Diceros bicornis minor: one gene and its partners. The protein of the gene in region 4 interacts with the protein of the main gene of each other region in a pairwise test. Links are inferred from orthologs where the notes say so. Each region holds a gene or a part of one and is shown on either strand. Other genes may lie near its edges. The genes, in order: UBASH3A, HSD3B7, OTX1 and SPRY2.

Evidence for each region.
Region 1: the proteins of SPRY2 (region 4) and UBASH3A interact in binary tests that used the Homo sapiens proteins (3 or more experiments, as listed by UniProt). The two-hybrid records come from large-scale screens. The link is inferred for Diceros bicornis minor from reciprocal best matches to the Homo sapiens genes SPRY2 and UBASH3A.
Region 2: the proteins of SPRY2 (region 4) and HSD3B7 interact in binary tests that used the Homo sapiens proteins (3 or more experiments, as listed by UniProt). The two-hybrid records come from large-scale screens. The link is inferred for Diceros bicornis minor from reciprocal best matches to the Homo sapiens genes SPRY2 and HSD3B7.
Region 3: the proteins of SPRY2 (region 4) and OTX1 interact in binary tests that used the Homo sapiens proteins (3 or more experiments, as listed by UniProt). The two-hybrid records come from large-scale screens. The link is inferred for Diceros bicornis minor from reciprocal best matches to the Homo sapiens genes SPRY2 and OTX1.

The regions. Positions count from the first base shown.
Region 1 is NC_080766.1:42,106,093-42,113,628, reverse strand, and holds the start of UBASH3A (ubiquitin-associated and SH3 domain-containing protein A), read right to left. Parts: upstream 3,015-7,536; 5' UTR 3,007-3,014; coding exon 2,894-3,006; intron 882-2,893; coding exon 828-881; intron 1-827. UniProt on the Homo sapiens protein: Interferes with CBL-mediated down-regulation and degradation of receptor-type tyrosine kinases. Promotes accumulation of activated target receptors, such as T-cell receptors, EGFR and PDGFRB, on the cell surface.
Region 2 is NC_080765.1:21,026,788-21,034,682, reverse strand, and holds the start of HSD3B7 (3 beta-hydroxysteroid dehydrogenase type 7), read left to right. Parts: upstream 1-4,883; 5' UTR 4,884-5,339; coding exon 5,340-5,462; intron 5,463-5,640; exon of another isoform or gene 5,641-5,835; coding exon 5,836-6,007; intron 6,008-6,218; coding exon 6,219-6,374; intron 6,375-6,661; coding exon 6,662-6,770; intron 6,771-6,848; coding exon 6,849-6,948; intron 6,949-7,139; coding exon 7,140-7,302; intron 7,303-7,740; coding exon 7,741-7,895. Other genes in the region: histone-lysine N-methyltransferase SETD1A, read left to right, coding at 1-829, 1,231-1,403, 1,486-1,596, 1,778-1,897, 3,792-3,929, 4,009-4,182. UniProt on the Homo sapiens protein: The 3-beta-HSD enzymatic system plays a crucial role in the biosynthesis of all classes of hormonal steroids. HSD VII is active against four 7-alpha-hydroxylated sterols. Does not metabolize several different C(19/21) steroids as substrates.
Region 3 is NC_080751.1:24,466,461-24,474,113, forward strand, and holds the start of OTX1 (homeobox protein OTX1), read right to left. Parts: upstream 3,012-7,653; 5' UTR 2,910-3,011; intron 2,576-2,909; exon of another isoform or gene 2,563-2,575; 5' UTR 2,481-2,562; intron 2,237-2,480; exon of another isoform or gene 1,550-2,236; intron 930-1,549; 5' UTR 817-929; coding exon 720-816; intron 1-719. UniProt on the Homo sapiens protein: Probably plays a role in the development of the brain and the sense organs. Can bind to the BCD target sequence (BTS): 5'-TCTAATCCC-3'.
Region 4 is NC_080748.1:59,266,611-59,273,722, forward strand, and holds the start of SPRY2 (protein sprouty homolog 2), read right to left. Parts: upstream 3,014-7,112; 5' UTR 2,607-3,013; intron 1-2,606.

The DNA of each region.
Region 1 (7,536 bases), on a different chromosome or scaffold from region 4:
TGTCTCCTTCGTCCTGTAGACAGGTTACTTATTTTACCCTCAGCCTAGGGTTTCTGGAGGAGGAAGGGGGTTCCCACTGAGGACGTGCTGGACACCCGGAGACCCACGGGCAGCATTTCCACCCGCTCTGGGGAGGGCACCCCAGCCTGGCGGGACCCGGTTTTTTTGTTTGATTTTCACTGCGGCTTTTCAGGGGCAGAGTGTTAGGGGACTTCCCACCTGAGGACAGAACGATGGCATCATGGCACATTCAGGCGGGACTGGGTTTTAGAAAAGGGGGTGCCCTCTCTTTGATTTCCAGAGCAGAAAGCCGCAGTCCATAGCAGTGGGCGGCTTGTAGAGTCGAGTAGCTGGTGGATGGAGGGGCCACCCTGAGCTCAGAGCCCCTTACCCCGTCCCCCCAACCACCCGGCACCCGCTCCGGTGCACCATGCCGATGCCTTTGGGGGCATTCACAACCACCGGTAAATTCTCTTCCTGTCAGACATAACCTGAGAGTGGTGACCTCTCTTTCACATCAGCAAAAAATGGCTCTGCCCTCTGTACTCAACAAATCACATGCATTTTTTTCTTCTTTGACAGTCACATTTGAATTAAATCAGATTTTTAAGTGAAGAAAGCCTTGTGCACGGTTGTCTCTTTTTCATTTTACATTTTAAATGTGAGCTCTTTATTCCCTTCCCTTGGTGCTGGGTGGGTAGGCGTGGAGGTGGCCCCTGCCCCGCCCAGAGCGCACTGGGCACTTCCCAGTGTCCATCCCGCAGAGTCCTCAAAGCACGGGCACCTCAATCCAAACGCTCCACGTCTGCAAAGCCAGCCCCACTCACCAGTCCGATGCCTCTTCCACTGTCTTTCTTCCGGTCGCTGCCAATGCCTTTAGCCTGTAGGGAAGCAGAAGGCAAGGAGCATTCAGAAGCCTGCCTTGCATTCTCAGGGAAGGGATGAGAGAAGCAGGGGCAGCCCTACAACTTGTCGGACCTTCGTATCGGACATATCAGGACCTGGAGGGGCTGGACTGCTAGACTCTGCAGCTGGCAGCTTGAGTGTCCAGGCCTCTGTCCTCCGAGAGGCATCACTGTGGTTTTTGAAAATGCAGACCTGCTCACACCACCCCTGCTCATTTTCCTTCTGGGGATCCCTCCCTGCAGTCCTTGGCACCGAGACCAAGGGCTCATGCCCTGAGGTCCACCCATGCCTGCAACCCCATCTGCTCCACCCTCCCCCATGCACCCTGCACCCAAGCCAGGTGGACCCACTGGCTATGATGGGTCATATCCTCGGCTTGCACACGTGCCTCCCTGCCAAAATGCGGCCCTGTGCTGACATGCCCTCAAAGACATGGCCCTGGGTCTTCTATGATTGTTTACACGTCCCTCCACCAGGAAGTCCTCCCCGAACCGCCCAAGCAGGGTGGACGTGCAGCCCCTCCTGTGTTTCCCCACCACACGTGTGGTCACCTTGCTTCTCATCTCATTGAACTCGTGTCCGTTTGCCTCCCCTACCAGACCATGATGTCCCTAGGCCTAACGATGTCTTACTTATCATTGTAACTGGATGTAAATATATTGAATTGAATTGAACTGAACCTCCAAATTGTACAGAGTGAAACCCGGCTAAGGTAATGCATTCAGGGAGTCGGCCCGGAAGTGGCTGGAATTGTTGAGGAACCCAGTACGGTGCCGCCCAATACCGACGGGATGTGGCCACCTGGATGGGTTTTAACAGGGAGGCCTTGGCTCCAGGCTTCCCTGGGGTGCTCCAGCCTAAGGGAGAAGTTTAAACATGTTTCTCTACCCCCAGCATACGGCTAAGGTTTAAACTAGAAGGAATTTTGGGTATGCGTCCACACTACAGCTTCATTGATGTAATAAAGCCTGGGCTCTAGAGGCACCGAGAATAGGGTTCCTGTCCTGCTCTCTCTGGCCTCAGTGTCCCCATCTGCACCTGTTGGACGATGCCCAGGACGGTGCCCAGCACACGGCAGGCACTCTGCTCGTGCTTGCTTCCATTCCCACTGCACAGACCCCCGGATTATTATGAACATAGTGGTGACGACCGAGTCCTGAATTGGATTGGAGGTGCAAGGGGTCTAGCTTCAAAGTTATTTCATCCACTTGGGTCAGGATTTTTGTTACAATGTTTAAGGAAGGTTTGCCCCGCTCTCAAATCCAAGGTTACCTAAGGGGACTTCTGATGTATTTTCCCATATGAATAAGCATGTGAAAAGGACCAGAACTAAGCAATCAATTTCCCGTGGAAGCTGTAACCCAGGGTCAGGATCATAGTCATTGATTTTGGGGATTTCTCCACTCTCTGAGAGGGGTAACTCCTAAGGTTAAAATCTTCCGTGTGGACGTTTTTCCTGGGTGAGTAGGATTGTGCTGACACTCTTCCGGTAGTTTCTTCATCATTTTGTTTCGTTTTCAGACATTCAAGAGATTTTCCCTAAGCACTAATGGTTTTCCTGCACTGTTTAGAAACACAGTCCCATCTCAACAGGTCCCAGCAATAGAGACTCACTGGGCTCTGGGATCTTTCAAATTAGAGTTTGAAATGTCGTCTCAGAGTCGCCGAGCTGCTCACAGAGACGGTACAACCAGGCCCCAAGCTCCTCCAAACTCTGAAAAATGGGGCTGCCATGGTAATACTTGGTTTCTAATTTTCACAAATTTCAGTGTCCCCCCCATCAACCAGCTGAGTTTGTCTTTAAAAAGAAAGATCAAGTTATTTATAAAAAGCAGAAAAGGGTCTTATTTTGAGACAGTGTCTCATCCTGCGTGGTGTACCCCTTCGACAGGAAGCTGGTGCTCGGAGCTGCCTGCAGTTTCACAGAGGAGCCACGGAAGGGTCAGGCTCGGGGGTCGCAGGCTCCCCTAGCCAGGGCAGTACTCACGCGGTGTGTGCCGGGAAGCCCATCCCCAGGAGGGAGTCCAGGAGGGCGGGGGTGCTGCGGCCCTTGAGCTTGTTGGAGATCTTGGCGTAGAGCTGAGTCTCCCCGGCTGCCATGTCTTCCTGCCTGCAGGCTGAAATGAGTAGATAAAGCCAGAGAGGGAGAGGCAAGAGAGTCTGAAGCTGTGAAGAAAAACCTCAAGCCTTTTTTGATCTTTCTAACAAAAGCTAATATCCTGTTTGCATGAGATACTGGTTTTCAAAAATCTCTTTGTGGGGTGCTGGGGTGCAATATCCACCAAGCCTCTTTCCACAGCGCGGTTTGGGATCCGGAGGTCCAACCAAGCCTTTGCACTGACGTGGGCTGCATTGGGGAGCAAGTCTGCAAGAGAGGGAGAGCGAGGGGGCAGGACGAGGGAGTGGAACCAGGGGCAAGTGTTCTCTACCAGGTCCCACTGACTGTAGAACCCCAAGCGACCCTGGATCTAGTCTCCTTATCTGCAAGCAAGACATTAAACTACGCTGTATCTATTTTCCCTGCTAGCTCTGAAATTTTGGGTTTCTTTAGTTATTCATTGACGTTTTTTTTGATTTTAAAAACTTTTAAAGTTTAATATGCGTGCAGAAAAGTTGACAAATCATATGTGTACAGCTCAATGAATCTTCATAAAGTGAGCACACACACCTAACCTTCCCAGGACCAGCAATTAAACAGTGGTCCTCAACCAGAGGATATTGGCCTCCATCCCCGGGGACCGCTGGCAGTGTCTGGAGACATTTTTGGTTGTCACAACTGGAGGGGATGCTTGCTACTGGCATCTAGCAGATTGAACCCAGGAATGTTGCAGTGCACACGAGAGCAAAGAAGGATCCAGCCCAAAATGTCAATAGCATCAGGGTTGAGAAACTCTGCTTGAGAACATTACCAGAACCTCAGAAGCACCCCTGCTCTCAGCCCCCACCCAGCTTCCTAGTTGTCTCCTCTCTCACCCCAAAAGGTAACCGCTGTACACACTTGCACATTAATTTTGCGTATTTTTGAAACTTATATAAATAGAACCGTACAGCATGTACTCTTTCGTGTCTGGTTTCTTTTGCCTAAAATCACGTGTGTGAAATTTATCCACATTGTTGCTTGTAGCTGTAGTTAGTTCCCTGTATTGCTGTGTAACATTCTATCAGATAAATGCACCATACTTTATTTCTCCATTTCTCTGTTGATGTACATTTGGGTGTGTTTCAGTTATTTTGCTGCTGTGGATGTTCTTGTATACATCTTTTAATGCCCAATGTATGCATTTCTGCTGGGTACACACCTCGGAGTGGGATTTGGGGGTCATAGGATATGTGCAGACTTCATTAAAAACTGCCAAGCAGTTTTACAAAGCAGTCGTTCCAATTTGCCCTCTCGCCAGCAGTGGATGCGAGTTTCACCTGCTCTGCATCCTTATCCATACTTGATACTGTCAGTCTTTTTAGTTTTAGCCAATCTAGGTGTGTGTAGTGGTATCTCACTGTGGTTCTAATTTGCGTTTCCCTGAATGGCAATGACATTGAGCACCACGAGACAGCCTATTGGCCATTTGAAGAACCTCTTTGGGGAAGGGCCTGTTCAAAGCATCTGCCTTTTAAAAAATTGGGTTGTTTGCTTTTTCTTATCAATTTGTGGGAACTCTGGAGATAAGTCTTTTGTTGGATGCATTTAATGGTAATAACTTCTTCCAGGCTGTGGTTTGCTTTTTTAATCTCTTAATAATGTCTTTGAGTGAAACGAAATTTCTTAATTTGAATGAAAACTAATTTATCAATCTTTTCTTTTATGGTTTGAACTTTCTGCATCTTGTTCAAGAAATCATTGTTAACCCAACATTGATGAAGATTGTCTCCTACATTTTCTTTTTGAGGCTTTACTACTTTTACTGTTCATATTTAGCTCTATGGTCCATTTGAATTAATTCTTTGTATGGGGTGAGGTAGGGGTTTATGTTCATTTCTTTCCCCATACCTGTGTTCAATGAAAAGACCATTCTTTGCCCAGTGAATACAGTAGAATGTTCATTATAAATCAGGTGACTGTATATGTATTAGTCTGTTTCTGACTCCATTATGTTCTCTTATTGGATTTGTCCATTTTTGTGCCCATACTACACTGTTTTAATTACTATAGCGTTAAGTCCTCTGATTTTGTCTTCTTCTTCAAGATTGTCTTGGCTCCTCTATGCTCTTTGCTTTTTCATATAAATTTAAAAATCAGGTTGCCATAGTGTGCCATTGGAGAGCACAGAAAGACCCCCATATGTGGTCATTTGATTCCCAACAAAGGGACCAATGTAACTTAATAGAGGAAAGGATAATATTTTCAACAAACGGTGCTGGAAAACTGCATATCGTTATGGGAAAAATATAAATTTCAACCCTTACTTCACATCATGCACAAAAACTAACTCAAATTTATGATGGACCTAAATGTAAAAGCTAAAACTATAAAACTTCCAACAAAAATGTAGGAGAAAATTTTTTGCTACGCTGGAGTTTGAAAGCTTTGTTATGACACAAAAAAATATGAATCATAAAAGAAGAAAATTAAGATGGACTTCATCAAAATTGAAAACTTCTGCTCTTTGACAGACACCATAAAGAAAATAAAAATGTAAGCCACAGACTGGGAGAAAATATCACCGTAGATACCTGACAAAGGACTTGTATCCAGAATATACAGAATATAACATAATGTATTTCTGCATCTATTATATATGTATATTCTCATAATCAATAATAAGAAAAGGAGCAATCTGGTTAAAAAATGGGTTAAGTGGTTAAAGATATGCAAATGGCTAATGAAGACGTGAAAAGATATTCAACATCATTAGTCATCAGGGAAATGTAAATTAAAACCACAATGTGATACCACAACACAGTTAGTAGAAGAGCTAAAATTGAAAAGACTGACAATATCAAGTTTTGACCAACCGTGGAATAATTGGAACTTTCACACATTGTCCAACCACTTCCAGAAAACATAGTCTTATAAAGTTAAACATATTCTTACTATACGACCAATCCACTCTTAGCTATCTCCCTAGGAGAAATGAAAATGCATGACCACACAAAGACTTGTATGTGAAATGTCTGTAGTGGGTTCATTCACAGTAGACCCAAATTGAAAAGAATCCAAAAACATACAACTGTTATAGACTGGTGAATGGATACAAAAATTATGGTACAGTCATGTGTTGCTCAGTGTTGGGTATACGTTCTGAGAAATGCATCGTTAGGCAATTTCAGCATTGTGCAAACATCATAAATCGTACTTACACAAACCTAGATGGTATAGCTTACTACACACTTAGGCTATATGGTGCTAATCTTATGGGACCACCATCGTAAACGTGGTCTGTCATTGACTGAAATGTCGTTATGCAGTGCATGACTGTGTATTCAATCAGTGGGATAACATATATCAATAAAAAGGAAGACATCACTGATTCATAGAAGAACATGGATGAATTTAAAAGAACATTGTTGACTGAAGGAAGCCAAACACAAGATATAGATACTGTACGATTTTATTTAAATGAAATTCTAAAAAAGGTAAAACTGACCTATGAAGACAGAAAGCAGATGAGTGGTTGTCAGGCCAGGGTCAGAGGGAGTTTTTGGGGGTGATGGAAACGTTCCACATCCTGATTTGGTGGTGACCAAATGGATGCATAGATCTTCAAGACTGACTGAATTGAGCACTTAGAATGGGTACAGTTGATAGTGTGTAAATTAAACCTCAATAAAATTGATTTTAAAAAAGGAAAGGGAAGGGGCCAGCCCTGGTGGCCTAGTGGTTAAGTTCCATGCGCTCTGCTTTGGCGGCCGGGGTTTGGTTCCCAGGTGTGAACCTACACCACTCGCCTGTCAGTGGCCATGCTATGGGGGTGGCTGACATACAAAAAAGGGCAAAAAGAGAAGGGTTGGAAGCAGATGTTAGCTCAGGGCTAATCTTCCACAGCAACAACAACAACAAAAAAGTAGATTTTGGGTCTGAAGTGACGGCCTCTACTCAAATATATTTATCTCTTCTAAATAGTAAACTACCTTTTCAGCAATTGTGCTTATAACATATTAAAATGTAAATTTCTCTTTAAAAAAAATCTTACTTGTGTAAGCCAGGAAACGCCCTATCTAGCTTAATCCCTTTTTCTTAGCTTGAAAAGTTATCTTCCAAGGCCAACAGCAAAAAGACTAAAGCTTCCTGACGCAGAATTTCCCCTGTGGCTGACCCCCAAGCCTCCCATCACTCGCTAAAGAGATCAAGGTGGAGACTGAGACTGTGCCTAGAACGAAGCTGTGTGCAAGTGCTTATGAAAGCTTCACAGGTCCTAGGGGAGCCCTCAGGGTAGGATGCCCCTTCTCATACCTCCAAACCAAGACTACTTAAGACTCCGGCTTGGTGAACATCAGATGCCAGCCCTAGGTGTGCTGATTTCTTTTTCCTTAAAATTGTATACTGAGCTTGATGGAACTGATCTGTAGGTTTTTCTGAGAAGCTACTTTATAGTGGTGGAAGTTCAGCCACCCTCATGGGTCTTTTCCCTACTATCCCTTGGTAAACTGGCTCGACTTATGACCTCATCTGACTCACATGCCAGCATGTTA
Region 2 (7,895 bases), on a different chromosome or scaffold from region 4:
CCTGTCTCCCGCAAAGTCCCCCGGGGTGTGGAGCGGACCATTCGCAACCTGCCCCTGGACCACGCGTCTCTGGTCAAGAGTTGGCCCGAGGAGGTGTCCCGAGGAGGTCGGAGTCGGCCTGGAGGCCGAGGCCGCTCCACCGAGGAAGAAGAGGCTGAGCCAGGGACAGAAGTAGACTTGGCAGTGCTGGCCGACCTGGCCCTGACCCCAGCTCGGCGTGGGCTGGCTGCCCTGCCTACTGGCGATGACTCGGAGGCCACAGAGACATCGGACGAGGCAGATCGCGCAGGCCCCCTGCTCAGCCACATTCTCCTGGAACACAACTATGCCCTGGCCATCAAGCCCCCACCCTCCACACCAGCTCCTCGGCCCCTGGAGCCAGTTCCTGCCCCTGCAGCCCTCTTCAGCTCCCCAGCAGATGAGGTGCTAGAGGCCCCTGAGGTGGTAGTGGCTGAGGCGGAGGAGCCCAAGTCGCAGCAGCAGCAGCAGCAGCAGCAGCAAGAGGAGGGGGAGGAGGAGGAGGAAGAGGAGGAGTCAGAGTCATCTGAGAGCAGCAGCAGCAGCAGCAGTGACGGCGAGGGGGCTGTCCGGAGGCGAAGCCTCCGCTCCCACACCCGGCGCAGGAGGCCACCCCCTCCACCCCCACCCCCACCGCCCCCCACCTTCGAGCCCCGCAGTGAGTTTGAGCAGATGACCATCCTATATGACATTTGGAACTCGGGCCTGGACTTGGAGGACATGAGCTACCTGCGGCTCACATATGAGCGGCTGCTGCAGCAGACAAGCGGGGCTGACTGGCTTAACGACACCCACTGGGTCCATCACACCAATATCCTGAGCCCTAGCGGCTGGCCTTCTCAGGATAGGAAGACGGGCCCGGGGGTGGGAGTGGACTTCCGTGGGGTCACCCAGCCGGTTCCCTCCGGTTCTCCCCATCCATGTTCTCTCTGCTGTATTCAGCCTGGGTATTTCTCCTCTGGCTACCAAGCCACTCTTTTCACTGTGCTTTGTGCCTCTTTTCTGCCTCCCAGACATTTTCTGGCAGAAAAGGTGGGTCTAAGACTTAAATCTCTCTATCCTTCTGTCCTCCTCACACTGAGTGTGCTCAGGACCTCCAGCTATAAGGTCAGTCGCCCTTTCCTTGGACTGGGACTGGGCGGGACAGAGGGGAGTGGGGGCCCCAGGGGTCTGACCAGTAAGGAACCCCGTCTCTTCCTTAACACCCTGTACTCACCAACCTGAGCACTCCAAAACGCAAGCGGCGGCCCCAGGATGGGCCCCGTGAGCACCAGACAGGCTCAGCCCGCAGCGAAGGCTATTACCCCATCAGCAAGAAGGAGAAGGACAGGTACCTGGACGTGTGCCCTGTCTCGGCCCGGCAGCTGGAAGGAGCGGACACTCAGGTGAGGCTCTGCCCTCATATTTGGCATACTCTTCCCATTCTTTCTCTTGTCACTTCCCTCCTCCCTGTCCTACTTCTCACAGGGGACTAACCGTGTGCTTTCGGAGCGCCGGTCTGAGCAGCGGCGGCTGCTGAGCGCCATCGGCACCTCAGCCATCATGGACAGCGATCTCCTGAAGCTAAACCAGCTCAAGGTGAGGAGTGGAGCCTTGGGGAGGAAAGAGGCTCAGTGGAAAGGCAGCATCCAGGAGTCCCCTAGGGGTGGGGATGGTGGGGAGTGGCTAGAATACCCTCCTTCCCTGGAGGTCTGCAGGGAAGGCAAGGAGCTAGGGTTCTGGAGGGGTCCAGCAGCACAGTCTGCCTTCTGCTCTCTAGTTCCGGAAGAAGAAGCTCCGATTTGGCCGGAGCCGGATCCACGAGTGGGGTCTGTTTGCCATGGAACCCATTGCAGCTGATGAGATGGTCATCGAATACGTGGGCCAGAACATCCGCCAGGTGAGAGGCCTCATACCCAGCCCTAACCCCTGATCTGATGCAGCATGGGAAAGCTCACAGGAGAAGCATCTGACCTTCTGGATAAAGCCCCACATACCCTCCTGGCTCTACAACTTAGCCAGTGAAACCTGCCTCTTTATTTTTTTTTCCTTCCTTCCTTCAACAACTAGTAATGGGTACTAGTAAACTAGATGTTAATGATCCAGCAAGAAACAAGACTAATATTCTCTCTCCCTTTAAGGACCTCACAGTTTAGTGGGGAAGACAGGCATTGAACAAGTAACTGCAATAAAGGATGGCGTTTGGTTGATGCGAAGGAGAAGTTTGGGGAGGCAGGGGCAGTGGCAACACAGTGATGTTTAAACCGGAAGCTGAAGGATGAAGCTGAACTCGCAGGCTCAGGTGAAGGGAAGGGCCTCCCGGTTGCGGGATGGCATGTGCAAGGGCCTTGGAGGCAGGATATTCTTACAAGGGCAAGGAGGTCAGTATGGCTAGTTAAGGGCCAGTGGCAGCAACGTGAGGCTGGAGGGGCAGATGGAGGCAGGGCTTGGGAGCCACACTAATAAGTTTGGCCTGATGGTGAGAGAGGAGAGTTGCCGCAAGGCGTTGAGTAGGAGAGGACCTTGGAGGGTAGTAAGCTCCCTCTGGCTGCAGTGTGGAGAGAGAATTGGAGGCTGAGGCCAGTGGGCAGTTGTTGGAGAGATCCTGGCCAAAAGCGAGGGTGGCCTGGACGAGCCGAGGCCTCTTGGCACGAGCCTCTGTGGCAGCTGAAGTAACAGAGGAGTCTGGAGGCCCAAGGTAGCTGGCAGGACTAGGCAACAAGTTGGCTCGGGAGAGTGAGGGCAAGAGGGGAGGGGAGGCCATTTCTCAGCGTGCTGCCTTTAGCAGTTAGGGTAGTTAGGGCTGCCAGTGAGATGGGGAGCGAGGAGGAGGGAGCGGGCGGGTGGTTAAGATGAGTTCCAATCAGGACATGTGAAGTTGCAGGGCCTGGGGGACGTCTAGGAGATGACGCCCAGCAGTTCCACTGAGGTGGCTTTTGGCTGGAGACAGAAGTTTGGGAGGAGTCCCCACCACTTAGCTGGCAGTTGAAGCCCTGGAAAAGAGTGAGATCACCCAAGGAGAGAGCGCAGGGGACTTAGCATCCTGTTTTCTGGAAAATACGAGTTACTCCTTCTCACATAAGAATGAGGGCCCTAACGTGGATGCCAGTGGCAGCCAGTGGGTGTCTCTTTTGGAGAGAAGGTCCTGGGAGAAGAGATGAGTAAGGTGTGGTCCACGAAGTGGCCACTGTCATCTTGGGAACTGCCCCAGCCCCACAGCAGTCTGGGGGCTCCATGGTGAGTCAGGCAGACACTTGAGGAGGAGCCAGTGGCTGCTTCTGCCCAGTGACCAGTGCAGACTTCCTGGGGTCCTCTTTGGGTGACTTAGAATGGCAGCCAAAGGTTTAGGGTGGGGGCCGGCCCCGTGGCTTAGCTAAAGTGCGCGCGCTCCGCTGCTGGCGGCCCAGGTTCGGATCCCGGGCGTGCACCGATGCACCGCTTCTCCGGCCATGCTGAGGCCACATCCCACATGCAGCAGCTAGAAGGATGTGCGGCTATGGCATGCAGCTATCTACCGGGGCTTTGGGGGGAAAAAAAATAAATAAAATCTTTAAAAAAAAAAAAAAAGGTTTAGGGTGGGTGGCCCTAAGAGGGAGGGCTCCTGGAAGCAAAGTCAGGGGAGTCAACGTCTTGGGTTAGTGGGAGCCAAAAGGAGAGCCACAGGTCGATGTGGCCCCTGAGGTGGTAGCTGGACGACTGTCCAGATCCCCCATCATGGGGGCTGGTGGGGTCAGGCCTGGTCCAGCAGGAAGCTGAGAGGCCAGCTCCCTGACTGTGGCACCTCACCCTACTAGATGGTGGCCGACATGCGGGAGAAGCGCTATGTGCAGGAGGGCATTGGCAGTAGCTACCTGTTCCGGGTGGACCATGACACCATCATCGATGCTACCAAGTGTGGCAACCTGGCAAGGTTCATCAACCACTGCTGCACGGTGCGCCAGGGGCCAGACCAGGGCGGTGCGGGGGGTCCAAGGGGGCAGCCTCGGCTCACACTGCCCTCCCCTCCTGCAGCCCAACTGCTACGCCAAGGTGATCACCATCGAGTCCCAGAAAAAGATTGTGATTTACTCCAAGCAGCCCATCGGCGTGGATGAGGAGATCACCTACGACTACAAGTTCCCGCTGGAGGACAACAAGATCCCGTGTCTGTGCGGCACCGAGAGTTGCCGAGGCTCCCTCAACTGAGGTGGGGCAGGACTGGTGCCCACACCCCTATTTATTCCCCCTTGGGGCCCTGAGCTCCCAGCCCCCCAGCCTTAGTGGGCTCAGCAGGGCCCACGTGCCCCATCTCCAAATACGGGGTTGGAAGCCCTGAGCCCGGCGGGGAGCCTCAATCCCTTGAGGTATCGTCTGCCTCCCTGTCGCCCCTGCCCACCCACACCCTAATTTTTTTTTCTTTGCGGAGAAGAAGCTGTAAATGTTTTGTAGCTGCCAGCAGCTGTTTCCTGTGGAAACCTGGGGTGCCGGCCTGTACAGATCCTGTTCTTGGGGGCTACATAGCCCCCTTGCTTTGTGTTAATGGGGGACTTCCCCTTTGTGCCCTGCGTGCACCCCTCCCCGGTTTAGGGGTCTCTAGGGGCAGTGGCCATGTTCTCCCCCTGGGGGGGGCCCTGCGCCCCCAGTCCTGGGGACTCCGTGCCTGGAACCCTGCCTCATCTTCTGTTCCTGCCAGCACCTGTGGGTCAGCCTCCCACCCTGGTGTCTGGGAGCTCTGGCTCCGCCAGGCCTGGACGGTGGGGGGCGGGCCCTTCCTGTTGGGCTGGATTGTACATATGTTAATAGTGCAAACCCAACGCCACATTTTTATAATTGTGATTAAACTTTATTGTACAAAAGTGCTTGGTCAGTATCTTTCGGGAAGAGTAGGGAGGGATGGGGGTTGAGGAAAATGGGGAACAGAGGTGGAAATGGGTGGCCTGGAGTTTGTGGTCTGTAGAGGGGCTTTCAGGCAAGAGCCCAGACCTGCAGACTCAGCCACCATTGCTCTGGGCCACCTGATAGGTTGGAACAGCCATCCAGAAATCCCCCACCAAGGCCAGACAAGGTCAGGCCTCCTGCCCTTCCCAGAGCCACAGCTGCCTCTGAGCTTCTGGCCTCCTGGGACATCCAGCAAGAGGGAAGGACTGACATCATGCAGTGGGAGTGAGGTCACTCTGCCTGCTCCATCCTGTGGCCTGAAACCCCTCAGCACCCACCCAGCAGGTTCTGGCTTCCCGCCCCCTTCCCCCAGTTCTTGCTGGAACCAGATGCCAGTGGAGTGAAGAGTGGCCACCAGGGGGTGCCCTGTAGCAAGAGTGTAGGGGACGGAGGGGTGGAGGCTGGGCTGGTCTCTTGTTCCTGGAATGGGCCAGGAGGGAGGAGGAACAAGCGGAAGGGGATGGTGTGTTGCTGGCCGGCTGGCTCAGGCGGACGAGAAGACAGCCCCTTCGGAGGCCCATCTGGGCGCCCTGCGACTGTGGCTGCAGGTAGGCAGAGGTGATGCCAGGGCCCAGGGGTCCCTTCTAGTCCCAGCCCTGCCCACCTTCCTCAATCCTTCCTCCCCAGTTCCTGCCTCTCACCCTCCATTTTTGTCCCAGAACCTCCCCATCCACCTCAAACCCTGAGCCCTTCCTGCACACTAAGCCCTCACCCTTCTTATCTCAGTAACTGCAGCTGGCAGGGTCAGAGGGCAGGGAGCCTGACTGCTGCACCCACAGCTGCCCCTCCAGGAATAGCCCTGGCCCCTGGGTCACTGCTCCAGTCCGTAGGCCAGAGGCCCCTTCCAGGAGTAACAAGTGGGCCTCCGGTCCTGGGGCAGGTGGCGGCAAGCAACCCAGGTGAGCCAGGGTCTCTCCTCAGCTGGGCATGGCAGACTCTGCACAGGCCCAGAAGCTGGTGTACCTGGTCACAGGTGGCTGTGGCTTCCTGGGGGAGCACGTGGTGCGAATGCTGCTGCAGCGGGAACCCCGGCTCCGTGAGCTGCGGATCTTTGACCTGCACCTGGGTCCCTGGCTGGAGGAGCTGAAGACAGGTGATGGTAGTGGGGAGGAAATGGGGGGAGGGTGTGGACTCCCTTCACTGTGGTGGAAAAGATGATGCCTGTTTACTATCTCCAGGGCACATGAATGGGATGAGTGAGTCACACTGGGAACATGTGGCTCCCAAGGGTATAGGCTGAACGCAGCAGCTGGCCGATGGCCCCAGCTCTGACATTGCATCTGGCTGCCCTAACCCCTTACCAGGGCCCGTGCAGGTGACTGCCATCCAGGGGGATGTGACCCAGGCCCACGAAGTGGCAGCGGCTGTGGCTGGAGCCCATGTGGTCATCCACACAGCCGGGCTGGTGGACGTGTTTGGGAGGGCCAGTCCTGAGACCATCCATGAGGTCAACGTGCAGGGTGAGGTGCTCCCCACCAGTTCTAATAACACACTTAACACTCCCTGGCAGGTGGCCTGATCTTGGCTGTTTGTTCCCCACCCCCTCTTTGACCTTGATCTCTGTGATTCTCTGGTGACAATCTGTCCTGTGGACACCCTGCCCCTGTAACTGCAGGCTGTGACCTGCTGTAGTTTTCCCTGGACCTGGGGAAGGAAGCACATACCCTCATCCAGATTTGGGATGGGGAGGGGAAAGATGTGGAGAGAGAGGAAGCTTCAGCTTGGACACACACCCCGCCTTCCCCAGGTACACAGAACGTGATTGAGGCTTGTGTGCAGGCTGGAACACAGTTCCTGGTCTACACGAGCAGCATGGAAGTTGTGGGGCCCAACATCAAAGGCCACCCCTTCTACAGGTGAGCTGAGGTTCCCCCTAATACTGTAAGAGCTCCATCTCCCCTCAGCATTAAGAATCTTCCTTCTCCCACCACCAGGGGCAATGAGGACACCCCATATGAAGCAATACACAGACACCCCTATCCTTGCAGCAAGGCCCTAGCTGAACGGCTGGTCCTGGAAGCCAATGGAAGGAAGGTGAGACTGGAGAAGAGGAGACCTAGAGATGGGGGTGGGGAGGGCTGCCAGTCAAAGGCAGAACCAGAACCAGCTGGGCTTCTTTGCATCCTGCCCTGGGTACCTCCTTTCCATCTCCAGCTTGAGGAGGCCACGGCAGAGGGTGGGTCACTGGGTCCTAGGTCTTAGCAGTGCCTGCTTTTTGCTCCCAGGTCCGCGGGGGGCTGCCCCTGGTAACGTGTGCCCTGCGTCCCACCGGCATCTATGGTGAAGGCCACCAGATCATGAGGGACTTCTACCACCAGGGCTTGCGCCTGGGGGGTCGGCTCTTCCGGGCCGTCCCAGCCTCTGTGGAGCACGGCCGGGTCTACGTGGGTGAGGCCCGGGCTAGGCGAGGGGAGGCGAAGAATTTGCTGGGGGGTGGGCGGATGTACACTGCCTAGAAAAGGATGGTCTATACACGGGCCGGGGTAGACTGATATGTGGGCATTGTCTGCACAAGCCACAGAGAAAACAGTATCCATGCAAGTTGGGAAGGCTGACATAAAAACGTCATAAGCTGAGGAGAGGAGAGGGGCAGCATCTACACTGGACCAAAAGAAGAAGGAATAGGGTCCATACAGGCTGGCCCAGGAGAGCAAGTGGCTACAGGGGCCAGGGAGAAAGCAGCCTTTGCTAGGGCTGTAGTTATGGTGGCAGCATCTACATGGGCCGAAAGAGGGAATGGCTTGTACGTGGGCTGGCCCAGGAGAGAGCAGCATCTACATGGTCGCAAGGGCACTCGGTCATGTCCACCCCTTTCTCCACTGGCAGGCAACGTAGCCTGGATGCATGTGCTGGTGGCCCGGGAGCTGGAGCAGCGAGCGGCACTAATGGGTGGCCAGGTGTACTTCTGCTATGACAAGTCACCCTATAAGAGCTACGAGGACTTCAACATGGAGTTCCTGGGCCCCTGTGGACTGCGGCTG
Region 3 (7,653 bases), on a different chromosome or scaffold from region 4:
TCCCTGCCGCTTAGAGGTTAAGGAAGGAAGAGAGGTTATACAATCTCCCTTCCTTCACCACCACTCCCACATACTCCCTGGCTGAAGGATGGGGAAGGGATACGCAGAAACACGACCTGGAAAACACTTGCCAAGGGAATAAATGCGGTTGCAGGAATGGGAACCAGAAAAGAAAGCCAGGATTCGACCCAAGCCGTCCACATCAGCAGCGCAGAAGTTGGTACAGGCGACAGGTCTAAAGGACAATTTAACTAAGGAAGGAGAATTCCCCTTCCTCGGCTTAGCCAGTGGCTTCCCATATGGGAAGCTCGTTTCCTCCTGTCAGGGCCTAGTGAGTGTCCAGATTCCGCATTCCATATTGGGGGGAAAGGAACAGATTCACATACATACATACACACACACACACACACACACACACACCAAAAAAGCCACCCATGGGAAACGAATCCGTGGGTAAATGTGCCCCGTGCTGGCAGTGGGACCACAACAGGATACAGGTTGCTGGTGTGGCCGGCCGAGAGAGCGCACGTTGAACGTTTTCGCCGCCCTGGCCCATCTCACCGACCCGCGACTCGGCCCTGTGAGCCTGCAGCCTGCCCTGAATTTTAAGCAGACTAGGCAACCGGTTCCCTGGGCCTGCTGGGCAACAAAGCGTGTGCTCAAACCCGAGACCGAGGGTCCCCAAAGTAGCAGGGGCTGGGGTGGGGGCTGGTGCTCACCCGGATAGCCCACGGAGGGATGCAGGAGGTCCATGGCGGGCCCGGCCAGGCCCAGCCCGTTCATGCCGTATGGGGGTTGTTTGAGGTAAGACATCATGCTAACAGCCGGGTGGAGGCGCCCCGACGGATCCAGGGGGGCCAGGGGCCGGGCGCAGTGCGGGTCTCCCACCGCGCAGTCCTTTCAAGCTCTGCTGCGTCTGGGGGCCCGGCCTATGGAGACACGATACAAACCGTCATTCGGAGCCATGTCAGCTTCCTGGTCTTCTCTGAGGCAAGGAGCCACCGGATGGGGAGGGGACCCAGGCTACGGAACTGCGCTGGGCAGTCGACTCAGCTCTACAAAGCCTTAGCCCAAAGACCACAGCTTCTTTGAAAAGTAAACTTTTCTGGATCGTCATCGCCTCTTTCCGGGCTTGGAAAGGGCCAAAGACACTCGCAGGGCGTCGCTAGGAGTGAGGAGAGGTTAAAAGCAGGGCCAAGCTGGGGAGGTCTGAGCCTGAACCGCAGAGTGTGCAAGGTCCCAAGTCTAGGCAAAATTCTGAGTCCGGTGGGAGCCGGCCTCATACTGCACAAGCAAACGTTCACACGGCACCCGGGCGGGCTGCCCAGAGCACAAGGGGTTGTTTCGTTTTGTTTCAACTGTTTTTGAAAGCGGGACAAAAGACACCAGAAAACCAAGGTGCTAGCAGCACCTGGGCCTCTCCGGGAGGCACTGCCCACTTAGGAGAGTACATTCCTTCAAAGGTCTCCGTGGCTGAGTCCCGGCCCCAGGGCCCGCAGCCACCCCTCCAGCTGACCTCTCTATGCCCAGCCGTTGAAAGATTGCTCACCCGCAATCCCACCACGTCTCAACCGCAGGTCCGGCAGAGGCGGCCAGAAGGGGCCACTGTAGAGGTGGCGGTTCTATCAAGCGGCCCGAGGTCAGCCACGGCCACAGGCCCTTCTTTGCCAACACAAGCCGGTAGCCTTCTTTCTGCCCGGTCCTAGTTGCGGACAACCGGGTCCCGGCGGGGGCTGAAAGGTGACCCGCCCAGCGCCCAAAAATGTCTCGCGGATTTGGGAGGCCTAAGTGCAGCAGGTCCCGCGCGCTCGCTATCCTACCCGCTGAACCCGCGGCCCCGGGACCCGATTGAGACTGGAGAACTAGGCCTCGGCGGCGTAGCTCGCGCTGACCGGGGCTGGAAGGTCGAAGCCTCGCTTCCCGAGTTGCCCCGCACCTAAGGCGCTACTCTCAAGGGTCAGAAAGTGGCGCTGCGGGAGTGGGACTGGGGCCCAGATGACCTGTCGCTTCACCCCGCTTCGTGGGAAGTCACAGCAGGCCTGGCACCAGGGCCAGGGATTTCAGGGAGAGGAGTTAGAGCTAAAGACGCTCCCCTCTCCTATCCTCCGGGACCCTCAACCTGGGCTGGGAGAACCCAGTTTTCAGGGAAGGGGACGAAAGGGAAACAGCCGGGGCTCTCGGGCCGAAGGAGAATGGGACTCAAGCTGCGGCGACTCTGCTAGGCTGCAGCTTGAGTTTTCAAAGATTTTCTTCAAACTTAGCACTTCAGCTCGGTTACTTCGGAGCAGGCGGGGGAGGAGGCCCGGGGCCGCAGCAGAGCTCTTGGGTCCTCCGCGCCTCAAAAGGGGTGCCAGGCCGCTCCCCAACCCTGCCCACCTGCCGGGGATCTGCGAAGCTGGGACCCGTTTGAGGAGGAGGAGAAAGCAAGAGCAACCGACGCGTTCCTAGAGTCCCGGGCGGCCCCGCGGCTTTCTCCTTACCTGCCCTCAGCTGCCGGGGCCGCTCACCATCTACCTCGCGCCCTCACACAGACCCGCCGGGCAGCCAACCTGCAAAACAGAGCTGCACAGGAATTACCCGCCAGGCTGGGCGGTTGGTCGAGGACACCCGGATTTCTTTCTTTCCCCAACTTCCCTCCTTTCTCTTTCTTTTCAGTGGCTTTGTGCATGTCCCTCCAGGTTTCACTTTTTTGCACAGACACTTTGTTTGCAAAGCCCTACACACTACCCAAGACACTACCTTGCCAGGACCGCGCCGAGGGGCCGCAAGGGGGAGGGTGGGGGGCGAGAGGGGCAGAGTTGGGAGGTGGCTCGCGGTTGCCGTTGCACTCCCGGTACGACGTGGAGGCGGTGGGGGCTGGGGAGGTCCTGCAGAAGCACTTTGCAAACTAAATAAATCAAGCGATTTACCTTGTCGGAGTGGCTTGTCTCGCCCGGTTGTTTAGGTGATTGGAAACGTAGCCTGATGAAGATTGATCACCTTTCTACTGCCCTCCCCGGGTATGTGAACGCGAGGTGAGTGCGTAACCGGGCTAGGCTGCCAATCCCGGGGCCCGCGCGGGCTGAGTGACAGGGAGCCGGGCAATGGCAGCACGAGCCGGGGGTTACCTCCGCGCGCCCCCGCCCTCCTCCGCCCCCTGCACCCCGCCCTCGCCGCCCGCCCGCCCCGCCCCGGTCGCGCGCTAACTCCGGGGTTTGGCTGGCAAACGCCTCGCAGAGCGAGGCGAGGCAGGCGAGCGCAGCGCCCGAGCCTCGGCCGCGGAGGGGGACGCCGGTCCCGAGGCCGTCCCGGGGCCCCCGCCCTTCTCTCGCCCTTTCGGCGCCCGGGAGGGAGTGGCAGACAGGAGGCGCGGTGCCGGAGAACCGGTTCCCTCGCTCTCTCGAGCGCCACTCGGCTCGGCGGCCCGGTTGTGGACGCGAGGACTCCGCAGCCGCGGCTGCAGGAGAGGGGGCCCCGGCCCCTCTCGCGGCGCCGCGGGCCCCAGCGTCTTCCTCCACCGCGCCACCACCTGCAGACGGACGCCGCGGGCGGCTCGTGCTGGCACAGGCTACTGTGCCGAGCGCGGGAGCGGCTCCGGGTGCGCAGATCCCGCCTTGGCGCCTCTGGACTCCCGCGTCCGGGAACAGCACCCGCAGGAGAGGCACCACCCCTTACCTGCTCCTCGGCGTCTCTTGGGGTTCCCAGCCCCTACGAAGGGTGCTTGCAAATTGTAAACGCTTCTTCTGAAACGTTGGAGCCCGGCGTCCCCTCCCCCTTACACACACACACTCTACTTCTGAATCGAAAGATTTTGATAGGAAACTTTCTCTTTCACACTGTCTCTCTGTCTCCTTCCCGGTCTCCTCCTACCAGGACAGTCTGCTGGAAAACGTGGCCACAGACCGCTACCCTCAATTTCTTTTCCACATGCCGCAGGAGCCTCCTTGAGGCGCTTTCCCCGGATTGTTCGTACTGGCAAAGCCCATTTTCCAACAGAACAACTTCTCCAACACGTCTACCTGGGTAGACTTTTCAAAGCGCAAAAAAGTTTTTCGCCCCAACACTGAGCAACGCAATTCTTTTAAATGGCACCTCCTCCTGAATATTAGGCACGACTTCATTCCCTTTCGAGGAATTCCTACCCCTTCTTCCTAATCCCCCCTCCCCTCCACCCCAACAGGCGGAGTGAAAACTTTGAACAGGAGTAAGTGTGAGGGCGAGTCAAGGAGCCGCCAGGCGCATCGCGGTGGGGAGCGCCGGCGCTGCCGGGGCCGTGGGGTCGGGACCGAGAGCGGACCGGGCGCTGGGCGAGGCGGAGGAGGAGAAGGCAGGAGAGCCCGCTGAGTGAAAAGGGGCCGCGGCCGCCGCTCATCAAAGTGCTTCCCCCTCCCCCAAGCGACACTTTCCTTTGGAGTCCGAATAAAATACGGTAACAGAATATGATGGAGGGCACACTGTTTCCTTAACTGCTTCTCAAAGGACTCGGGAGATCTTCTTAGGACCTTTAATAAGGCTTTGGTCGGTTCTTTTGTTGATCTCTCAAAATCAACTCCTTCTAATTGAAGTTGGGAGCTGAAAGCGAGCTAATGTTCAAAGAAAGTGGCCGCCAGACCAACGAAATTACATTTTTTTTTTTTTGGACGATGAGGGAACATCTAATCAAAGGGGCAAAGAAGGAGGGGTGGGAGTGGAGGAGTATGAAGGAGAAAAGGAGGTTTTACAAGACCCTTCTCTGGTTCACAAAAGTCAGCGACACGGGTGCTTCTCTCGAGAACAAAGACACCGCGGCCCAGTCACAAAAGGGAATGAAAGAGAGAGAGAAAAAACAATAAAAAAACGAGAGAAAAGGAAAAACATGAGAAAGAAAAAGCTTTAACAGGAAAAGAAACTGCGCAGAGCGCAGCGCTGACCCGGACGGGAACGCTCGTTAGGCTCGCGCAGGCCCCCGTGGGGAATGGCCGGCGCGGCCCGCGGCTCGGAGCCCCCGGGACGGTGCAGAGGTTTAAAGAAAGAAACGAAATACACCCCCGCCTTCAGCTGCGGGGAAAGGCGCGGGCTGGAGCTCACTAGTTTAGAGGGGACCAGGGTGTGGGCGTCCCGGGGGGCGCTTCCGCAGCGTCTGCGTCCCCAGCTCCGCGCTGCCCCTGCCTGGGCCTGCGCTCTGTGTGCCTGGGTTCTTAGCCCTCCGTTGCCGGGGTGCGCGCCCTTGTCCCAGTCCCGCAATCTCTTGCGCTCCTGCTTCCTCCGGGCCGTTTCGCCTGCAGCGCAGCGCCGGGTCGAGGTCCGGCGCGGCGAGGTGGGGCGGGTGTGCGCGCTGGAATGTGCCCAGGAGGTCCCCAGGGCCCGCCGCGCGGGAGTCCGGCGCTCTCGGTTCCAGATGCTGCCACGGTCTCGGGGAAGTTGGGAGGTATCAAGCAGCACGATTTTTCCCCCCTAATGAGAGTATTTATCTAATCCCAAATTGCAGGCGAATTTTCTTAATGCTCAACCCATAAAACCCCGGGATTAAGAGAAGAAAGAGAGAGAGGAGAGGGGAGAGGGGGGAGAGTAGAGAGGGAGAGACACTGAGATGAAAGTTTCTTGTACACAGCGTAGAGGACTGAGGCGGCCGTCGCTAGGCAAATGTCCAGGTGGGAGACTCTGGGCTAGAAGCCGCGACCGTTCCAGCAATGGCCGCAGCGCCGGGAGGGGAAGAGGGGCATCGCGAAAGGGCATGTCGACCCAGCTCGAGGTCTCGGGGCCGGGGAGGGGGCGTGGGAGCTGGGCCCCAAGACCCGGATCCAGCATCCAGGTGACCTCGAGGCCGGGCCAGACTCTGGAGAACACTTGGGACAAGGGGAGGGGTTTGGCTCTGGGGCCGTGGGATCCTGGCCAGGGGCGGAGGTTCTGCACCAGCCCGCGGGCTATGCCCAAGCCAGCCCGATGCCAATGCTCCTCCTCCTCGGCGGCCCCTGGCCCCCAGCTTCTATTCCCGCAGCGCGGGCTTTCGGGTTCCCGGCCTCTACGCAGGCTGAGCTCGCGCCTGCGCTCCGGAGGCAGCCTCTGGGCACCACGCGACGAAATCGGGACGCCGCGGGCCTGACTCCGCTAGTCCCGGGGGTCCGCGCTCTGCCGCCGCTGCGGGGCGTGCGGGCGCCACAGAGCAGCTCACATGGAAACCCCGCGAGGCTCAGGCCTGGGGCAGTAAGAGCAGGAGAGGGGCAGCAAATCTGTGCCTAGGGAAGGTTTGTCACTTGGCAGGTCGGGAGAGGTTTAGGGGAGCCGCCTCTCTGCGAGGCTCCTCGGGACGGAAGGTTCCCCGAATCCAGCGTAAATGGGGTGGATGACGCTGGCCGCCCAAGCCCCAAGCTGCTTCGGGCTGGCGATTTCCGTCTGCTGGCTTCCCTCGGGGTGGAGCGGGGTTCTCAGAGCTTCCCCTAGAGAGCAAATACCCCATTTCATTTCGTTCTGATAACTTTTCAATAACTTCTTAAAATCCTTGTCATGAAGAAATTCTGCCGTAGCAAGTTTTTATCATTTTGAAATACTGGCAGTTGAAGGCGGCTGCAGACTTTTCGAACGGAATTTATGTTTGTATATATCTGCATAAATGTATGTGTGTGTATATATGTATGTGTGATCTAGGCTAAAGTATAAATGCTGGTGGACTGTCTTCTCTGTCTCCAGACTTGTTGAACGAGCTCTCTTTGTTTCGGACACCTCTGCAGAGGAGTGATGGAAACTACCATAAAATCGCCAGTTTTTTCTGTAGCCTAGAACTTCTTGTTAAAAGTTCCCTTTCCCTCATCTCATACACATGTATCTGCACACACAAAAACCCCTCCCCCCGACAATAACCCTCTTTCTTTCACTTCAGCACCTACAGTTATCAGAAGTCACAGTTCTTTCTCATATGAGTGCAAAATTATAACAACTGAAAACAACAACGTGGAAAATTCATCAAGATACTAACACTTTTACAGTGCTGTGGAATCACAAATTTCCTCAAATCTTGAACAACAGAGATGACCCTTTACCAAAGATGATAGTTTACAATGCTTAAGAAAATATGACTAATTGTTTTTCAATTCACATTCGTGTATCAGCAGGGCCCCTCTGGGATGGTGTAAACTTGTTCAGCTCCAAATACAACCCAGTATCCTGCCCTGCAATCAAGAGGACCATTTTTTTCCATATGAAAAGTCTTATGGATACACAACCTTCTCCTCAAACCAGTGTCAAGTTTTCATTGCAATGAAGTAGCAGCAGTGTTTAAGGTAAGAAAGTTTCTGCTTTTATTGAAAATTTATATATGACTCAGAATTGTAATAAATAAACATAACCATTTTCACAAAAAATGACAGTGCTATGCTAGAGAAGGAAATATTAATTGGGGGATTTACTCATAGTGGCAAGACAGACTTTTATCAATACAGAATAAATATTAACAGCATTCTTGAGCCAATGTTGAGACCCAACAAAATTGTAGGAACCAAGCTAGATGTAATAAATAATTATCCAGAGAAAAAGATGGCGCATTCTCAGATGATAAGACGGTCTTTGTAAACTGATGCATGTCAATTAGTCCCATCCTCACAGCTCACCTTTAAATCACAGGACTTGTCTCAGGCTATGTTAAAGAGCCATCCTCTGAAGAAAGCAGAGGAGAGGAGCTCTATTATCCTTACAGTGAAA
Region 4 (7,112 bases):
AAAATGGCAAGAAAGTAATGTTAGAACACAACATTGCTACCAACATTTTCAAAAGTTGAATACCTTTTCAAAATTTGAAATAAGTTTAAGTTTATCACGGTCCTTTTTGCCTTAAACATCAATAAATACAGCCTAGAAATTCTTCCTTCGTTCTTACTTTGTATGCTTTTACATCACATACCCTGAACTATGATTTATCTAGTATTCTGTACTTTATAAAATCCCATAGGATGAATATGACATGCAAAAAAGTAAATACTCCACCCAAGGAACAGTTATAAATTTTACAACAATGATACATTATCATTAACTACATAGTAGCTCCAAGTTATATAGTATTAAAAACAAATCAATTTAAATCCTGTTAGTACCAGGAGCACAGTAAAGCAAACTTACACTACGCGCAGCAAGACAGGAACTTACTTATTTTCAACAACTTGAGAATCAAATATTTTATAATCTGATAGCCTAGGAGACTATCTTAAATTCTGTAGCTAAAAGACTGTTCTCCCTGTGTTAGAAATAAATTATGTCAAAATCTTAACTGCTTTGCTCCTTTCCAAAAACTTAATAGTTGAGAACATAAACTGACTGGTGATAATAGGAAGTTTTTTAAAAATTTAAGTGTCATCTCAAATCTACATTCTGACAAGCAATCGCTTAAACTGCAATTCCTCTGTAAATTTCAAAAGTATCCTCCCTTTCGCCAAGTCTATAATGAATAAAAATGGGCAAAAAGTGCACCTTTATCCAGTCTTTGCTTTTTAGGAGAGACACAGGCAGGTGACACACGCCCCCCAACTCCAAACAAGGCAGAGCTGGAAACAGGATCTCACTTCCAACAGAAAAGCAGACAAGACTACGCTGCTCTTTGCTTTCACTCCGTTTATCGGTTCTATCTGTGCCCCAACACCGTCCCCAGCAGGTAGGACACAGTCGGAGCCCGGAGGGACTTTTCTCCGGGAGGACCGACGCAGCCCAGAGGCCAGGCTGGCCCCCCTGCGCACAATCCCGAGACTGACAGACAGGCGGGGGGCGCGGGCGCCTCCGAAGGGGACATGCCCTGAAACGCTAGAGCACACTTCCCCCTCCCTCCCTTCCCGGCTAAAACCTCCCCCACCTCGGAGAACTGCCTCCCAGCTCCAAGAGGGAGCCACTCCACCCCCAGGCAGAGGGCACGCAGCCCACTGCAGGGCGTTCCGCCAAAGGCCCTCGAACGTCGGGCAGAGGTCTCCAGCCCGACGCCGCGAGGAAGCCGGTGCCTTAGACACACAGCCGGGACACCGAGGTCTAACCCACGCACGCTGGGCGACTCCCCCATGCGCTGACCAAAAGGCCATTGCCTGCAATCTGCAGACGCCTACATATTAATATAGAGATATACACATATTTCTTAAAGTGAAAGAAAAATTGCTTTTTAAAGAAAAGACATTTTACAGGGCCCCACTGCACACGCTGGGCATACAAGACCCAGATCCCTGGGGTGGAAACTTTCCGCGAAGATTTGTTTGCAGTGGAAAGTAGCATCTTTGGGGGAGGGGGGATCTTTTTCTTAACCAAAATGATTTCTGCCGATCCCTGGCCTCCTTCGCAGCCGCGCTCCCCTCCCGCCCCCCGCGCACTCCCTCATGTCCCCCCGCATTGAAAGTGCTTTGAAACCCCCATTAAGAACAGTGTGTGATCAGACTAAGGATTAGGGGGAAAGGACTTCAGCACAAGAGTGGGGCAAACCGACACAGAAACTGCTTTGTAAAAATGCACAGGATTCCGAATTAAAATACAGCAACAGAAAAGTAGATCAGCCCATCAAAGGAAATAAAAAACTAGCCTCTCTTGCCACCTATTTTCAGGTAATGGAAAACGATCGCTATCGCTTGATGGCTTTCTTCCTGTGTTGGGTCAGCCCAATCTTCCAAAAATAAAAAAAGCTTGACCCAGTCCGACCGCGGAGAACGGAAAAAAGAGAACGCTGCACTTCCGAACCGCAGAGACCCGGCGCCAGGCAGGGCGACGCTCCCACCCGCACCGGGCTCGCCTCCGTCCACACCGGGCAGAGGCGGGGGGCTCCCTCCACCCGGCATCCTGTCCCTTTTTCACCCGCGGGGTCTCGCTGCCCCCGTGAGGCGAGCGACCCACGCGCCCTCGGTCCCGCCGGCGCCCCTGCTCCGGGACAGCCTCTCCCAGGACTTGCCTTCCCCGGGGAGGAACAGGTTAGAGGCGCGGGCGCCTGCAAAGGCGACCTGGAAAACACAGTGTTTTCCCTCCCTCTCCTGTCCTCAGCGCCGAATTCGCGGCCAATGCAGGGCCGGGAGTAGACTCGGTGCGAGCCGTCCGCCACCCCAGCCCCCCAGAGCGCGGGCGCGTGGGGTCGTGGGGCCAGGGACACTGCACCGGGCGCGCACCGCAGCCCCCGCCAAGGCAGGCCAAGCTCGAGGCGACGCAGAACCGCGGGCAGCTCCCGGGATCCCTGAGGGGAACCTGCGGGGTTAGAGAAAGGGAGGCCCGAGGGGAGACAGACCCCACTCCCGGTCCGGCTGCACCTACTCCATGTTGCCCACAACGCGCCGACCACGGCGCCAGGAGGGGACGAGCCAAACGCGCCTCACCGTGATCGCGGCTCTGCACCAACCCCTCTCTGCTGGATTCTCTTCTTCCTGCGATGTGCAAATAAATCCAGCCCCGATGCAAACTTTTTCCCCCTTCTTTCCAAACTCTGCTTCAGTCCAACTTCCGAGCAATCGGCGGGAGGAAAAAAGGCGAGGGAAATCCAGAGCCAAGTCCCCAGCCCACGAACCCGCCGGAGTTCGGGGCTGGAGGCGACCCCCCTTCTAGAAGCGCACGCGGAGTATTTCCTCTTTTTTCTCAATGAACTGGAGGCCGAAGCGCCAAACGCGAGTCTCTTTTCCTGGCAGATGAGCGAATGAGAAAAGAAAACGGCCTTACAGAGAAACTACAGCCAGATGGCTCAGAGTGCGGCGGCGGCGGCCGCGTCCGCGCGGAGGCGGCGCGTGGGCGCGGGGCTGCGGGCCGGGCCGGGCGGGCGCGGGGGCCTGGGCGCTGCGCGCTCCGCCGGCCCCTCTCGTCCGCTCGCGCTGCGGCGCGCAGCTCTCGGCGGTGCAGACTGGGCGTTGTGGAGGCGCGGCGGCGAGGCCGAGGCGGGGGCGGTGGGTGCGGAGGAGGAGAAGGAGGAGGAGGAGGAGGAGGGTCTGGGGCCCGGCCGGGGGGGCTCGCCGTTGGCCTGCGCCCTCGCCTTTCCGGAGGAGGCAGGGAGCTCTGCGGCGGCCGCGGCAGCAGTAAATGGCGTCATGTGGATCCGAGGCGGAACAGAGCAGTTGTTGTCCCAGAGGATATATCGCATCCGGTCCCAGCTCATTGGCTCCGCGGGGCTACATTCACTCACACTCCAGCGCCCGCCAGCGCTCCGAGCCGCAGGAGGCATTCAAAAGGGCAACCGCGCCGCCCCGCGCGTCCCCGGGCCGGCCCTGCCGCCCGGGCGCCGTCACGCGGGGCGCCCGCGGGGCCGGGCTGGGCACGGCCGGGTCAGTTTATCTAGTTTCAAGGAAACACTGCCCTTAAGGTTTCCCCAGAGGCCATGAGGACAAGCCATAGGCTCGGGCTGACTTAGGGAACTTTCTCCGCGCCACTAGGAAAAGGGAATGAACATTTAAAACTAATCCAGGCCGTGCAGTGTTAGCATTAAAAACAAGTTGCAGGTTTTAAGACTTTATTCGGAATCCATTTCAAGCCCACTTCTCCCCTTTTCTGTTCCCCCTCGAGGGGGCGACGGGGAGAGAAGAAGGGGGAGGGGAAGGGGAGCGGGAAGTGAGGTGGGAGGGCTATTGGTTTATTCTTTGTCTACTGGATTAACCCGATTATACACCAGGCACCAGCACAAACCGCCTCCCCCACCTCAGAGCCGTGTACGAGAGGAACAGAACGCAGATTCGGGTTTCAAGTACCTTCTGCTCTGGCCGGGATTTGCTTTTGATTGTGTCGATTTGCAGTTTTTCGGTTTAATATTAGATTTTATTTTTAAAAGTGGAGTTAGCTATAGATGGAGGCTTTTTGAAGATCTTGGTGTTTTGTCTGACGCAATAGCTGAAGGAAATCCTACAATCTAAGACTTTTTAAAATTAGTTAATTCAGTAATACACACATGCACGATTACTTAAGGGCGACATCACGGGCTTCTGACATTGGGGGGGGGCGCTCACTGCTCCACTGTAGATTCTCTCCTCCACTTAAGCAGAAGAGTCATCCTTCATTTCTTACTCTCTTTGTCACCTAGAACATTTCTCAAGAAGATCCTATTGTCCATTTTGAAAGTGGACTGTATTTTCCCACGTAAAAAATAAAAATAGAAAGATAGGAAATGCATACAAATACACTGCTCTAATTGCCGTTCATTTGCTAAGAAACGTGCTTGCACGTGGGAGCACCAGTAGGAAATTAAAACACTCCCCCGCGCGCGCGCACACACACACACTCCTAATACTGGATTCTAATGATTTACAGAATGTTTTTACTTTACAGGGAAGTAGGGTCAAAACTCCCGGATAGCACCTGCGATCTTGCCCCCGTGCGAGGTTAGAGTTCTTGAAACGGGGCTAGGAAAACGTGGTGCTTGATTCCCCGGGTCCAGTTGCAGCCCATGTCGTACGCAGCTACCCTGGCACTCGCTGCCTGCTCCCGAGCTCCCGCTCTAGAATGCCCCGGGCGCGTTCCCTGCCGCGCTGCGCTGTCGCCCTGCCTTCTCCATGTTTATCTAGGGCTCTCCCCCCTCGCCCGGAGTTTGGAACCAGAGATGGCAGGGGAAGTGGCATGCGTTATTTCCGGGCGCTGGCCTACGTACCCCCACCCCTCGGGTGAAGGTAGACCAGGCTACCTCGGCCTGCTCCACGGCGTCCCCGGGGCTGCGGGCGCGGGACGACCGGGCCTCCCTGGTCCGGGCCGCTCGCCCGACGCCAGTCCTTAGAGCGTCCGAGTGAACGCAGGCTCGGCTGCGTTTATGGCTCGTCCGGCCACCAGGGGGCGCCCGCCCAGCGCGGGGCTGGGGCTGCCTTCTTCCCCAGTCTCGACGGGGGCAGGAGAGGTTGCCTTCCAAAATGTACGTTAGGCCGGCTGGTTCAAAACGAATAAAAAGACGTTTATACTATAAACGCCACAACAGGTAGCTTTCCCTAACATCTCCTCGGATACATTCTGTTTAGAGATGAGGTACCCAGGTTCGGAAGAACTCCGACTTTTACCAAGGGGAAGGAATTGGGGGCCAAAAGTTGTGCAAGACTCTTCTGGAACGGGCTGCCAGTGTCCGGGCAGCAAGTCTAGGGCAGAGCAGGTGAAAGAAACGCCTTCTCGTCGCCTCCTCAAACCCTTGCAGCAGATGGCTGCTTCTCAGGAGACACTTGGAACCATGCTGTTCTCGGGGTGCTGCCGGATCTCTGCCAAGATACGTTGTTCTGGATCAAAGCATAAAATGGAATTTAAATTAGGAGGTTCCGGCTCGTTAGGGCACCTTAGATTTTTATTGAGTCAACAGGGAAGAAACTAGGAATTTATATTTATCTTTCATGAGCTAGAAGGTACCCCATGTAATCTAGCTCCCCCCCACCCCATTCTCCCACAGCCTCCAGCCTGCTGTCTGGGAAAATATTTAACTTATAACTTAAGCACAAGGTAAAAACAAGAATCTGTTGGATTCTTTCTAATTTACTTCTTATTATTTATTTTATTTAGTGCAATTATTGTTTTTCAGATGTGGTGTGTGAAGCACTACAGTGTGTCTCCAAAGTTTACTTAGTGAGTTATAATCTCAAAGAGGACTTACGTTTATGTGTGTGTGTGGTGTGCCTGCACACGCAATGAAGTGTTTGGTGCAGCTCTTGCTCCAAAATCTATTCTCATGATGCATTACAAAATTCTAACTGGGATTAATTTTGGAAGATACTTCAGAATTATGAAAGAATGTTATGTAACACTTCACAATGGAGCCCATTTTCAAACCTGTTGGGGAGAGTTCTAGAGAGGCAACCCTGAAGCATGAGCAAGTGTTGCCGTTTGCCTAATGTTGAACAATACCAATCCGTGGAAACCCGTGCTGCACCACAACGCACCTCCAGGTTCTTGGGGACGCACCCAGTAACATGCCTTCTTAGTCCTAGCCATTGAACAGCACTGTGTGTCATATATTTGGGATCTCATCTCTGCCTTCATTTTATTTTCTGTGTTCATTTATTTGGATTTACTTCATTTTATAACTATAGTTATCCTCAATTTCTTATTTTAAATGAGGCAGTGTATAAACCTATGTGAATTTTGCCTGCTATAATCTTCAGTAGAAGCCATTGATAGGGACAGAGTAGACAAGCTTCTTCACCAGTAGGTGCGTTGGCAGAGTTAAGTCAGATATTTTCAAGGTTGCAGTTACTCGTCTAAGCTTCCGATTTATGTTGTAGTAAAGGGAGAATGTAGCTTTAAACAACTCTAGTTTCAGTTTCTTTGTGAGATTGACCAAACCACTTGGCCTTACTGGGTTCAGACCCAGTTTTGATAACCGAAGAGAAATCTTGCAGTGATATGATGTGTTCTTGAGACAAAGAAAAATTAATAGCTAGTGATTATTTGGATATTTTGTTAGTTTTATAACCAAGGCAATTTATTTATGTATTCACGTTTAAAGCTGGCCCTGAACACAACAATGTATACTGCTTCCAAGAGTAACAATTTAGATCTTTCAACCATTATTTCTCCTCACACCCTAATTGCAATAGTAACTTTAAGTTATGCATGGACTCTTCTGGGAGGGACTTTCTTAAATTAAAGGGCTTTGCAATAATGGACCTTTTGAGTTGGCAGCCATGACTAGTCATTTCACTTTTTGAATTGCTTTGATTTTCCAAAATCTATTGATATTACCTCTAAGGGGGAATTGGGAGGGCTGCAGTAAAAGATACAAAGGATTTCAAAATAGACCACTTGAGTTCTTATCTATATGGCTTGGAGAACTGGGAACAGTTTATTTCTGCATCCAACCTTTTTGGTGATGTCCTTTATCCCTAACTAAACTGGAGGAAAGATCTGGAGTTATCCCAGAGTAAGTGGAGTGGTCCTGA